Linked DNA regions of Tribolium castaneum. The protein of the gene in region 1 interacts with the protein of each later gene in a pairwise test. Links are inferred from orthologs where the notes say so. Each region holds a gene or a part of one and is shown in the gene's direction. Other genes may lie near its edges.

Evidence for each region. The genes of interacting proteins can lie anywhere in the genome.
Region 2: the proteins of 14-3-3zeta (region 1) and sau interact in binary tests that used the Drosophila melanogaster proteins (3 or more experiments, as listed by UniProt). The link is inferred for Tribolium castaneum from reciprocal best matches to the Drosophila melanogaster genes 14-3-3zeta and sau.
Region 3: the proteins of 14-3-3zeta (region 1) and Slob interact in binary tests that used the Drosophila melanogaster proteins (3 or more experiments, as listed by UniProt). The link is inferred for Tribolium castaneum from reciprocal best matches to the Drosophila melanogaster genes 14-3-3zeta and Slob.

The regions. Positions count from the first base shown.
Region 1 is NC_087403.1:7,751,743-7,756,076, reverse strand, and holds the start of 14-3-3zeta (14-3-3 protein zeta), read left to right. Parts: upstream 1-1,167; 5' UTR 1,168-1,326; intron 1,327-1,422; exon of another isoform or gene 1,423-1,581; intron 1,582-1,814; exon of another isoform or gene 1,815-2,124; intron 2,125-2,196; 5' UTR 2,197-2,214; coding exon 2,215-2,517; intron 2,518-2,690; coding exon 2,691-2,814; intron 2,815-3,030; coding exon of another isoform or gene 3,031-3,194; intron 3,195-3,340; coding exon 3,341-3,504; intron 3,505-3,670; coding exon 3,671-3,787; intron 3,788-3,852; coding exon 3,853-3,891; 3' UTR 3,892-4,334. UniProt on the Drosophila melanogaster protein: Required in Raf-dependent cell proliferation and photoreceptor differentiation during eye development. Acts upstream of Raf and downstream of Ras, and is essential for viability.
Region 2 is NC_087403.1:8,423,444-8,427,862, reverse strand, and holds the start of sau (Golgi phosphoprotein 3 homolog sauron), read left to right. Parts: upstream 1-1,392; coding exon 1,393-1,578; intron 1,579-1,630; coding exon 1,631-1,877; intron 1,878-1,933; coding exon 1,934-2,109; intron 2,110-3,864; coding exon 3,865-4,113; 3' UTR 4,114-4,419. Other genes in the region: tRNA pseudouridine synthase Pus10, read right to left, coding at 1-318, 370-506, 553-787, 833-946. UniProt on the Drosophila melanogaster protein: Phosphatidylinositol-4-phosphate-binding protein that links Golgi membranes to the cytoskeleton and may participate in the tensile force required for vesicle budding from the Golgi.
Region 3 is NC_087399.1:3,728,433-3,733,075, reverse strand, and holds the start of Slob (slowpoke-binding protein), read left to right. Parts: upstream 1-1,616; 5' UTR 1,617-1,783; coding exon 1,784-2,073; intron 2,074-2,146; coding exon 2,147-2,332; intron 2,333-4,643. UniProt on the Drosophila melanogaster protein: Regulator of calcium-activated channel Slo. Increases or decreases the voltage sensitivity of Slo, depending on the absence or presence of 14-3-3-zeta in the complex, respectively.

The DNA.
Region 1 (4,334 bases):
GTGATACATCATTGTAATCAGGAATAAAAAACTTTTAAAAAATACAAAAAACAAATCTGGTTTCCATAAAAAAACAAAGTTGAGTGTTCTAACTCTGTCATCAAGAACGGCTGAAAAATACAATGATAGAATTAGATTTCTTGTAAAAATAAAAACGAAAATTACATTTACGATTTTCCAATAATTCAAAAGATAAAAATGACATCAAATTTTAATTCTGATAATTTTTCAAACGTAACCGACCTCCTATCTTTTATAATAAGTAAGTGAGATCAGTAAGATCCTTGTGGTGGAGCTCACAAAACGGACAGCCTGTATGCATGTAAACGTAAAACCCGATTTAAAAATAGACGTGATTGTACTAAATAATCTCATATTTTCGAGCATTACAGATAGACATTAAATCGTTTCCGATTTTTCTGTTAGTATTTAAAATAAAATGTGATTGCAGGTATGAGTAACCAGCGGTGTAAGTTATGAGTCAGTGTTTAATAAAGCTATTTTCAAATATTTAAAAAAGCACCGATATTAATAAAAATTTTACAAAATTGGTGTCGTCACAGATAAATTTCCATTACAGTGTGATGCTACACAAGTTGAACAAACACGGACTTTATTATAGTTAATTTTAATACAAATGTTGAATAGTTTTACGTGCAAAATGCAAATTACAATCTAATCAGGGGCGTATCAAATACTCCAGGTATTTTTCGTTGGTTGATACTTAGACAAAACAACGCAGAGATCAGTTTACAAGTGCGCAAACGGGTGTTGTGAAAACATTTATCGCAATAACAATTTTTTTCTATTCAGGGAAAATAATGAATTAGATAAGGAGATGATAGTGTGCCCCGCCACTGGCTCTATTTATTTTGTTACCGTTAAACACTTCACCTTTGTGTATGTGTGTTAAAATTCACACCAATAAAACGTAATTTGTTTGAAATGAAATTAACGACCATATCTGATCGACAGTTTAATTAACGTAATGACCAAAAAACGCTCGTTTTTCCCTGAAACGTGAAAATAGAACCATGAATGAAGGCCGAGTACGTTATGTACCCAACACGCCTTAATTAGAATTAAAAATTGTCCATGAATCATGACTGTATTACAAAACCGGTGATCTCGTAGAAGATAATAATTTTAAATTTGTCCAAATCTAGGGGTTTTCATCGTTCGCGGTTGGTGCGCCACTCGCTATCCTTTTCTACCGAAGCGAAAAGCGTTCCTTCTCGTTTCTCCGTCTCGTTTCTAAGTTGTGGACGCTAGTGGTAGGATCGTTCCATTTTTCTATCAAAAAATCGTATTCAACCCTTGTAGCACGTGAGTAAAACTAGGTTTAATTGTCTAGGGGCGTAAAGTGCAGAGTTTTGGTCCAGAAATCGTTGTAAACGCGCGTAAATCGCCGAAAATTCCGGTCAGAGGAGTCGCTGAAACGCCGCCATTAAATCTGTGCGCTATCGTTTGTTCGCGAGCCCGCATCGATCCAGTAGTCGTGTTCTAGTCCTTGTCTCGTATGCTAGTGCACTCTTCGGCCAAAGCTGAAAGAGAAATTAACTGAAATTGTTGAATTTGAATGTAAGTTGTGCCTGAAATTGACGACAAGTGCTGTTTTCGTGCCTTTTGCGCCAATTCCCGCCGATTAGCGCCGCAACGTGCTTCATTTTGGTGCAATGAAATCGCCATGCAATGACCTTCAGCGCCAGACTCGATTTTTCCGCCGAAAGGCGACGCAGCCCCCTCGGGGGCTGCGTCGCCCCTTTTCGCGACTGTTTCGGGGCGTATGAAATTTTCGAAATTCCTTTGGGATGTATCACGTCAGTCGGCTGGTGGTAATATAGAGCAGTGACACTTGCGATACTCAATTAGGTTTTTTGGCATTGGAATATTTCGGGCTTTTGGTATTGAATGGTCGGTTTTGGGGGGTTTTCGGTTCGGTTTTTGGGGAAAAACCCACCGTTAACTACGCATTACACGGAAAGGTGTGGCAGACGCCATATTGTCGATCTGAGCCGGCTAGATTCTTACACCATTTTATCGACACACACAGGGGGTGGAAGTAGCGAAGTCGTTTGACTTAAACCGCGTTCTAAATTTAGACAATTGGATTTTTGCTAAAAGGTGGGAAATTAAGTTTGTGCGGTGGTGTCTTTTGCCGGTTGTGATGTAATAACATGAGTTTTTCTCGTTTAGATTTAGAATTAGAGCAAAATGTCTGTCCCTGACAAAGATGAGCTAGTGCAGAGGGCAAAACTCGCAGAACAGGCCGAAAGGTACGATGACATGGCTTCGGCTATGAAATCAGTCACAGAAACCGGAGTAGAATTGAGCAATGAAGAACGAAACCTCCTTTCTGTCGCGTACAAGAATGTCGTTGGTGCCAGGAGGTCATCGTGGAGAGTTATTTCTTCAATTGAACAAAAGACTGAGGGCTCAGAACGCAAACAGCAGATGGCCAAAGAATACCGAGAAAAGGTCGAAAAGGAACTAAGGGAGATCTGTGACGACGTCCTCGTAAGTACCCTTGAAATTCACCACTACATTCCGACTCAAATGATGTCAAAATATTTAACTTTCGTTCTTCTGAATCATACTTGAAGACATTTTATCAAACTGATTTCGCATTTATTTCAAAGAACTTGGCGCGTTTGAAATATTTGAGAGGACATGGATGTTTTTAATTATAGGGTCTTCTTGACAAATACTTGATCCCTAAAGCGAGCAACGCTGAATCAAAAGTTTTTTACTTGAAAATGAAGGGAGATTACTACCGGTATTTGGCCGAAGTAGCCACAGGAGACACAAGAAACGGTGAGTGTGTTTGGCTTGTTGGAATTTAAGACAAGGGTAAACAACAATGGGGAACTTGTTTTAATTTCCAACGAATTTTATGTTTGTGTGGGGTAAGTTACGGTGATTGACACTTTATTGTTGTTACATAACGGAATTGATTTATCGCGACGGTTTTTTTCCAAGTTCCCTATTGGCTGTTATGTGGATTTGTTATTTACTATAGCCCGCTTTCAGCCGTCGTCGATTATTCACAAAAGGCATACCAAGACGCTTTTGAAATCTCAAAGGCAAAAATGACGCCCACACATCCCATCAGATTAGGTCTTGCCCTAAACTTCTCCGTTTTCTATTATGAGATATTAAATTCACCAGACAAGGCTTGTCAGTTAGCTAAACAGGTTAATATAAATTTTGTTTCCTTAGTGTCTATAGCGCAAAGGGCGGAATTACATGTGGTGGATCTGTTTTTTTTTGAATATTTGTTGTTTTTACTTTGAAGTTTGTTCGACTGACAGTTTAATAATTGTTCGATTTTTATTGATAGAAGTGGTGGAGGATTCACAAAAGGCGTATCAAGAAGCATTCGATATTGCTAAATCGAAAATGCAATCGACACACCCGATTAGGCTGGGACTTGCCTTAAATTTCTCGGTGTTTTATTATGAAATTATTAATTCTCCAGCACGAGCCTGTCATCTCGCAAAACAGGTTATAAATGTGTTACTATTAGTGTGTTTTTTACATTCTGATTAACCGGTTGAATTAACACTTACCACATGTAATTCAGCCTGCAATACTAACTTAACTAAATAACCGAGTAGTGTGTTACAATCGTACTTCTATAAAAGTATTGACACTCAAAATGTCGATTTAGGCCTTCGATGACGCAATAGCAGAACTCGATACCTTAAATGAAGACTCTTACAAGGACAGCACTCTCATAATGCAGCTCCTCCGAGACAACCTCACACTCTGGACAAGTGACACGCAGGTACGTTGATCAATCGTTAGAAGAATTGAAAATTTCTAATGTCCTGTTGGGGTTGTGTGTTACAGGGCGAAGCGGATGAGCCTCAAGAGACTGGTGATAATTGAAGTGTGGCGTCCGTTTTAAAATTATTCGTTAAAAATGAAGTTTCATGTAAGTTAACGTATTCGTGGAACTTGGTTGTGAAATTTCATTGACAGTTTTAAGCAAAGTTTCACCTGATGAAACTTGATATTTAACAATGTTTTTAGGAGATGTGTAAATCGTTAAAATTTAATTACATTTTCACACAACCAAAACAATGTCAGCCACAATTAAGTTTTTAATTCAAAAAATCATCATTGATTCAAATTTACCGGAAGTTGTGTGGTTCAGTGTATTTTGGCATTTTCTCATTTTTGCTCTTATGTTTTTTCTCCTTATTTTTGTAATTAGTGTTTCATTTTTCCATAAGTGTAATTTATTTGAAATTTCAGTAATTTTTAATTTCTAATTTGTTAACTATTAAAATTATTATTTAATAACACTGTTTTAGTTATATTTTTTGTAT
Region 2 (4,419 bases), about 670 kb from region 1:
GCTTTCCAGCGACTTAAATAAAATTTCTTGAACTGAACTGTTGATTACTTGGACTTCGTCGTTGGCCCACGGTGTTTGAAACAGGTTTCTTGAATATTTACAGTACCTTCCGGCTATAAAAATATAATCGTGCTTGTAAGCCACTTGGTCGAAACTTAAAGCTTTCCCGGGCGGTTCCGGAGGGACAGCGGCATGTTTTTTGAAAAGTTCGGTGTTTATTGTCTTTAAAAACTCCCCGATTACGTTACGACTAAGACCCTCGTTTTGTCCATTTGATTTTTTCAGTCTACTTTCCATCAGAAACATAATTGACGACTCCTAATACAACTTATTAATTTTTAAACAAGCAGTGGTTAGTCCTTTCGTTACCTCTTTTTCAAATTCATAAGTCGTGTTAAACTGGATTTGGAGCAATGAATCTTTATTGAACTTTTTGCCAAGTTTTTCGCCCAGTTTGTTTTGTATTGACAAGGACCATGCCCTGTTTATTGGAACAATGTTACGATCTGAAATGTAAGCATTTCAACTATTTCAACAAGCAAACCAAACAACCTTCAAAAAACTTGGGGAACTTCTCATTCATATGAATCTCCATGCTGTGTTCCCTTATTAGAACAGCAACCGGAAAACTAATGAAATTAATAAAAGTCTTGCAATCGTACTCCTTAACACCCTCCAGTTCTTCACACTGAACCATGGATTCAAGAGTCACATCTTGGAGCAAATCGAGACAAATTATGCACGAATTCAATTTCGTCTTTTTCGCCAACTGGTCGTGTCCGTTTTGCTACAAAAAAAACCTTTAATTGTTGAAAATACGACTTTTTTTTACCTGTGGATTATCATAATCGGCTGTGTTATCGCCAACGTAGCGTAAAGCGCACCTTTTGCAACACCCAGTCTCCAATAAAAAATTGAAAACTTCGGCTTTATCACTTTCGGTCATTTTTAAATAAAATAATGTGGTGGCAAAAAGTGAGGTTAAAAACGGTGGGTTATGCAACCCATTCGACAACAATTTTTTCCAAACTTGAAAAAATCCCGTGGTGGGGAAATCATAAAAATTGTGGGTGCTGATTACTTGGCATTGTTAGATTTTCTGTACAAAGGGATTAAATTGGAATTGATAAGAGCGTGACGTAATCGTAGGACGTAATCACTTTTTCCCGATTTTTGATTTTTTATCCAAAAAAAAGGCTTGAAGGGTTAGTTTAGTTTGTTAAATACTAGAAATGAATAATTTTCTTAGAAAGTGAGCGAATTTGTCGATTTTTCGGACGGAGTGGTTTTCTGCCAGCAGCCTACATGCTTTTGACATTTGCCATGTTGATGGAAGTCAGTTAAACGTCAAGTCTTGTAGAAAATAAATAAGTTATTTGATATTTAATTAAAATGAATCGGAGTGAAGGGCTGGTGCAAAGACGAAACATAATACGTGACTCAGGTGAAGGTGTGAAAGAATCGCAGAACAATGAGAAGAAGCAGGAGCACGACGAAGACATAGACGAGGGCGATTCCAAAGAAACCCGATTAACTTTAATGGAAGAAGTATTATTATTAGGCTTAAAAGACAAAGAAGTAGGGCTTCGCCCCCCGTGTGCTCACCACACCTAACCGTGTCGTTTTTAAGGGTTACACATCGTTTTGGAACGACTGCATTTCGAGCGGTCTCCGGGGGTGTATTCTAATCGAGTTAGGTTTACGTGGACGTGTGGAACTCGAGCGGGCTGGTATGCGCCGAAAGGCGCTCCTCACCCGCAAACTTATCCTCAAAAACGACACACCTACCGGAGACGTCCTCCTAGATGAAGCTTTAAAACATCTCAAGGAAACAGATCCACCAGAAACGGTTCAAAGCTGGATTGAGTACCTCAGCGGTATGCTCCAAATGCCCCTTTCTGCCCCCAGGTTCACTTAATTGCGTGCTTTTAAGGCGAAACTTGGAACCCCCTCAAACTGCGCTACCAGCTGAAGAACGTGCGGGAACGCCTAGCGAAAAACCTCGTCGAGAAGGGGGTTCTCACAACGGAGAAGCAAAACTTTCTGCTGTTTGATATGACCACGCACCCTCTGACCGATAACGTCACCAAAAGCCGTTTAATAAAAAAGGTACGTTTTGATACAGCAGGTGGTAAAGGGTGCCCCGTTCTACTAAATAGTAGATCAAGTAGAACTTTAACGATAGGCAGGTAAAGTACTAAGAAGAGTATACGACTTACACTTGCGAATTATTCCCTAATTACATTGTCTTCATTTCTATTTTTTTGTTTTCGTTACGTTTTTACATAATTAAGTGTATTTATGTCCACAACTTTCAAAATCTTCACTTTTTTTAGTTAAGTTTTCTGGGTAGTCTATATCGTCGTATATAGAAAATATCATTTTTGCTTATAGTTTAAGTTTTTAAAATTTGTAAAAGCTTTGAAAGAGTGTAACTGAGGTAATTATGCAATACTCCTTCCCAAAGCTTTTATAAATTTTAAAATTGTAAGATATAAGCACAAATGTATGTTTCTGAGAAAAAACTTATTCTTCACCTTTTCTTTATTTTTTCCTATTTATTGAATAGTTTATTGTATTTATTTACACTCTCTGGTGTAAATTATATTCGACACCGATTGTGCATAACAAATATTTGGAAAATACTAGTCTCTAATTCGACTGCCTTGAACTAAAATGCAGTATCTGCTTTTAATCTTTCAGTAGACCAAAAAATACTTATTTAACCGGCCTCTTTGAATGACTAACTCTTTACTCATATTGTTTAACTTAAAAATATCGTTTTTTTAGGACAGTTTAAGACGTGAGTATTAAATTATCTAAAACAACGTGATATTAAAGTATAAGTGGATATTGAGGTATTTAAAATATGCAGGATTTGTCGAGCACGACGGCGTAGCCGGAGTGCTCGTAAAAGAGTTATACATGAATACTTTACGTTAGTTTTTTTATTGGTACACTTTGAAATCATAAATATTGATATTACAAATATTGAAAATAATGTAATGTGAGATCAGTTTACCTTTCGTTGCCATGGAATTGATTATCATTTTAATAAAAAATGTTAAAAAAGTTAGTATTTATTTTCACTTTTCTTGGGTTATTATGTTATTAATGTTGCCATGGACACTTTAAGAAACGTGCTGCTGTGTGCTTTAAATAAGCAAAATAGATTGCCAATAATAAACTAAAAGTTCGATTAAAAGTTATATTATTGTATAAATGTATTCTTTTTTACACCTATATGAGTTATTTTTACGTAAACAAATGGACTACGATTGACTGTCTCTAAGACATTTTGTAGATACGGTGTTTTACCTTGGGAAAAGGAATGTTTTATTACAGTTAGTGTTTATTCATTTAGAAAAAGAATTGCTAATAAGTATTTAAATGAACCTAAGCGTAAAAATAATGCTAAATATGTAAAAAACTCATCAAAAAATTTTTTGGGTACTGTGTTTTTACTTGGAATTGATTTGGTCCCATTCCCATTTTTCAACTAAAGGCCAGGATATTGATAAATTAATTACAATTGTTAATTATTTACAAATTATTAAATAATGTATATATTATTGTAATGTCACAAAATTACGTATGTATGAATTTTAGCTTGTTAATATGTTAGTTCCTGTGGGAAAAAAGGGTTTGGTTTCGTCTTAAAAAATCCTAACAGAATTAACTAACTTATTAAACTAAATAGCACGGAGGTTACGTATGTATGCAAAATTTCAGCTGGTTCGGCAGCAAAGCAAGTTAACTATTGTTTGCCCTTTAGAGATCGGGAAATACTTTGTTATTTTGAATTTAAGCAAAGTGTGTCTGAATTTCTGGCGGAGGGCTTGGGGTAAAAAACCGCTTTTTCAGATCCAGGATGCCGTACTTACGAAGTGGGTGAACGACCCCCAGCGCATGGACAAGCGGATGTTGGCGTTGATTTTCCTGGCCCATGCTAGTGACGTTCTGGAGAACGCTTTTGCGCCCCTAAATGACGACGACTACGAATTGGCAATAAAGCGAGTACGAGAGTTACTTGACTTGGACTTTGAGCAAGAATCAGTCAAACCAAACACTTCGGAGGTACTGTGGGCCGTTTTCGCCGCTTTCACGAAATGAAAATAAACTGTTTTTGCTACTAAATTTTAACTATAAATAAATTACGTTGAAATATTGAAGTTATCAGTTTTGTATTTAATGTGATGTTAGTTTGTACATTGGAAATTTTTTCTATGTGGAGTACACAGGCTAGACTAGGATAATCAGTTTCAGTGGTAATACACAGGGTGTTTAGCTTCGTTGATGTTTAGAGGCTTCGGACATCAGGAAACTATGTACTCCAACTTTTATTTGTACATAACTTCGAACTAAATGTATTGTTCATGTATGTCAAATATTACCTAATTATTATTATTTTATAAATTA
Region 3 (4,643 bases), on another chromosome or scaffold:
AAATTAGAAAAAAAAATATTAAAAGAAATGGAAATTAAATAAACTAGATAGTATAAATTTTATTGTAATTCTATGCCATCACAAACAATGAAAATCATCTGATGCATCACGTCAACAGTCAATCCAAATGAGATATAATTTTCTTGATAACTTTAAAAAAGATGCAAAAAATTCACAACAAAAGTTACCATAACATAGCTTATGTATATCATGATTTTTTGTTTAGTTTGGAAATTTATTGTGTACAGACTATACTCAGAATTGTTTAATTTTATTTTCAGATTCTGATTCATTACCATTGTCTATTAAAAAATATTTTTTTTCAATCTTGCATTATGAATTTACGAAATCTATTAAATTGAAAAATGGTGGATGCGCCGGGAGAAATAAAACCACTTGAAACTGGTAAAAACCTTTTATCTTATTGTTAAAACAGGGTGATAATAAACTGATGAAAACTGAAATAGACTTCTAAATGTCTCCATTAAAGCAAAATTGCGCCTGAAAGCCGTCTTTGCGTGTCATAAACCCGTCGCAATTAAACAAAACAATGCCCGCTAACTGCGTCACTCCATTTGCCGCAACAAGGCAACCCCTTTAAACTTCCACTTTCCCGATCCCGTGACGTCATTCGCGACTGTGACCCAGTTTTCACCCGTCTGTAGTTTCCCTGTCCCGAATTCCCGCGCGTCTGATCCCACAACCCTCAGCAATACGCACGCGTCCACCTCTTGTTTATCGACTGATTCCAATTCACGGCAATAGTGATACCATGCGTGTTTGCAATTTGCGTGCTTTCAGGCGTTTATTTCAGTTCCGGTGTTAGATTCGCCAAGTGAGCTTTTGTGTAATTCATTTTCGTCGTTAACACAAGCTTTTATCAGAATCCTGTTGCTGGCGACATGTAGCTTTTTCTCCCAACCACAAACCTCTATTCTCTTAAAACATGAAAGATGAAAGTGGTGTCCAGGAAGCCGCAGCATACCTCCAACACCCATCCGTGGGTAAGTTTTGCAAACGAAATTTTTTAACTTTTGGTTAATGGAATTTTCACAAGGTTTCGGCCTCGTTAGTCGTGCTAGGTTTAGGAGCTTTGGCGCTAGCGGTGTTTTGGATTAGGAAATGCAGGTGAGTTATTAGATTAGAATTGATTTTGGGCTCAATGAAGTTCTTAACTTGTTTGGGGAGTTACGGCCTCGTTAAATAACGCGAGAAGTTGGGAAAATTCGATTTTATTTTTCCGCTGTAAAATTATGACGGGAGAATAGTTAAGTGATAAATGCTTTTTTATGGAGTGCCATAATGTGTTGTCATACATAATCCTTGACAACAAAAGAACAAAGGATAATCATTTTTCAGTCGCTAATTAAATAACTAAATTAAACAAACTACAATGTGTTTTTAAATGATTGTCATCTGGTCGTCTAAATGCCGCTTTACATAATTAATGACACCAAATATTACCTTTCTCCATCAAATAAGCTTCGACAATAAAAGTATAAATAAAATTCAGTTGCATTTTAACGAAATTTTTAAAATTAATTAATTGACAATTTGTGAATTTCCAACTGTCACTTTTGACGTTTATTGACAGAGGATTCATGTGAGCAGAGCGGCACCTTTTTTGCATGTACACCAAATTCAAAGTTAACTAGATGGAAGGAATTCAGTTTGTTTTGAATCCATTTAGCCGCATTACCGCGAATCCTCTCAGCCCCTAACAGCATTAAAGCCTTAGAAAATCGCCGGGCTTCAGTCGCAAGGCCTCTTGGCTCCCGCCAGCATGTTCAACCTTTACCAGAGCATAAATAAGAAAGAGGAGGAGAAAGAGCCTCAAGTGATCGGTCACGAAAGGTTCTACCAGGAGCGAACTTCCCGTTCGGGTTCGCGCCGCAAGAAGCGCGTGCCGCATCGCTCTCACAGCGCTTCGGAGTTTTCCACGGGGGCCTTAAACGCCGCCAACAAACGTGCGGCTTTCCGAAACCGCTGCCAGAGTTCGGAAAATCGCAGCGACGATGGAAAAGTAACTCCCCAAAGAACGGAATCGTTCGCGAGAGTGTTTTTCTCCCGCCGGTATAGATTATCGATAGTTTGAATTAAAAATTGAGATGCTCCCACTCGGGACTTATTTTTAACCGGATTTCAGGTCGTCCGGGGCCCCCAAGCACGAATACAGCGCCTTGAAAACCGAGGGAGGGAATGAGAAGTTCCGGGCCGAGCAGCAGATAAGGAATGGGGTTTTTATGGCTTGTAAGCACTATCTTACGAACAATGAGCGGTACGAGCTGAAGACGCAGTTGGGGGAGATCGGGTCGAGGACAGACAAGCATTGGTATAAATTATTTTCAGAAGTATTTAAATACAAATACAAATACTTTTTTGGCAAAGTAATTAAATGTAATTCAAATACAATTTTTGAAAATGTATTTAATTCCAAATACAACTACATTAGTAATGTATTTAAAAGTGTTTAAATACTTAGTGGGGATTTTGAATTTAAGGATAGTCAAGTATAAACACTAACATTAAAAAAAGTGTTTATTTACATTTTCTTTCGGGAAAATAGTCAGTAGAGCATACAGTCACGATATACCGGGTGTTCAAAAACTGGCGCACCAACTCAATGGAGTGTGGTAAAGAATTGCTTACATATAAAGGTAAAGATAGTAAAAAAATTTTTTTTTTACATTTGCATTAAAGTTATTGATAAATAACGAATTTTAAATAAATGATATGTGGCAACGTTGTCTAACAGTTGTGATCGCAATAGAATTTGATCAACAATAAAAATAAATTATTTTTGAAACGGTTTCCTAGGAAATAATTCCCAGCGTTGGCACATCTACAAACTGTGATTTTTTTAATGAATTTTATTTTTTTTAATTAAAAAAACTGCTAAAGTCTGATGTGAAATTTAAAAATAGTTATTCATCGTTGTGTTAGGAAACGATTACTTAGTGTGAAACATAAAAACATTAAAAAATAATAAAAACTGAAGAAGTTAGCAAAATAAGTTTGTAGCTCCAGATTTTTTAAAATATGACTTTAGGAATTTTTTCAACATTTTTCCCGTAATCTGCACTTGTACAATCATACATCAATACCAATACAAAATTATTTACATGTTCTTAATACTATCTAATTTAATTGAACATTTTCTTGTAACTTCATCAATGGTAGACATTCGTTCTGGATGCTTTCTCTGTAAAAAAAACTCTGATTAATTGCTTTGCAGATAAATTATGAATAAGTTCTTAGTCACTGCGATTTTAAATCGAAATTTAACAAATATTGTTAGGTATGAAAAACTCAGTTCATTCCTTATAAGAAAAAAATAAATAAGTAGGATAATTAAATACTGAGTCAAAAAGTTCGATGTGGCTTTCGGTAATTCACTATAAGTTTTATTAGCACCAACACATAATAAACATTTTGCTGTAATTTTATTTTCTGAAGAGGATATAACTTCGAAAACATCGTTTGTTAAAATGGCGGGCAGTTTAACACTTTCCATAATTCGCTTGTGTTCACAACTCGAGAGTTTAAGACGAACTGAAATTTGTTTTTCATAGTTTGTATGTCCTTTACTTTTTCTATTATTTATAAACGATATTACTGTAGCAGTAACTTGTAACAGTCTTCTATTTGCTGATGACCTTAAGCTTTATAATATCATAAAAACCGGTAATGATTGTCAAGTCTTGCAGAATAACATCAACAATCTCCTCCAGTGGTGCGAAGCTAATAGGCTAAACCTAAATATACCTAAATGCTTTGTTATGTCTTACACAAATAGGAAAATTCCGATCATGTATAGTTATAATGTTAGTGGTCACATTTTACAAAGAACAGACACATTTAAAGATCTAGGAGTTACCTTTGATAACAAACTTTTATTTGTGAATCATATTACAAATATTATTAATAGCGCGTATAAAACTACTATTACTAATTTAAGAGCCTTAAAAGTCTTATTTTTTGCCCTTGTACGCTCCAAGTTAGAATATTGTGCAATTATTTGGTCACCTATATATGCCACACACATAAATAGTATTGAATCAGTCCAAAGAAAATTTTTGAATACTGCTATGGTATATTTCTTTTAAAAATTACCCCGATAGGAGATGTGACCAACTAGTGCTTTTAAGGACATTTAATATCAATTCTCTAGAAGTTAGGAGAATTATCTCAAGTATTGCATTTTTACATAAATTACTAAACAACAAGATTGTCTGTATTGCTCTTGTTAATAAGATAATTTTTCTGGTTCCTAGAATTAACTCACGACATCCCATGACTTTTTACAGTTGCAGTTGTAATACGAATGTTCTATTAAAATCACCTTTATATGTAATGTGTAGTAATTTTAACAAAATTAGCAGTAGTTATGATATTCATTTTCATTCATTTAATTACATTAAAAATCATATAATTAGTTACTTTAGTGGCTAGGTAAAATTTAATTTTAGTTCTTGTTTCTTAATTTATTATTATAGTATTATTATTAGTTTGTTTTAGTTTATTTAAATTATTAGTTTTGCTTGCAGCACGATCATTAAGTTTAAGTTTATTTTCTGTAATTGGGTGTTTCACCTGTTAGAAATAAAATAAATATTATTATTATTATTATTATTAAAAAAATA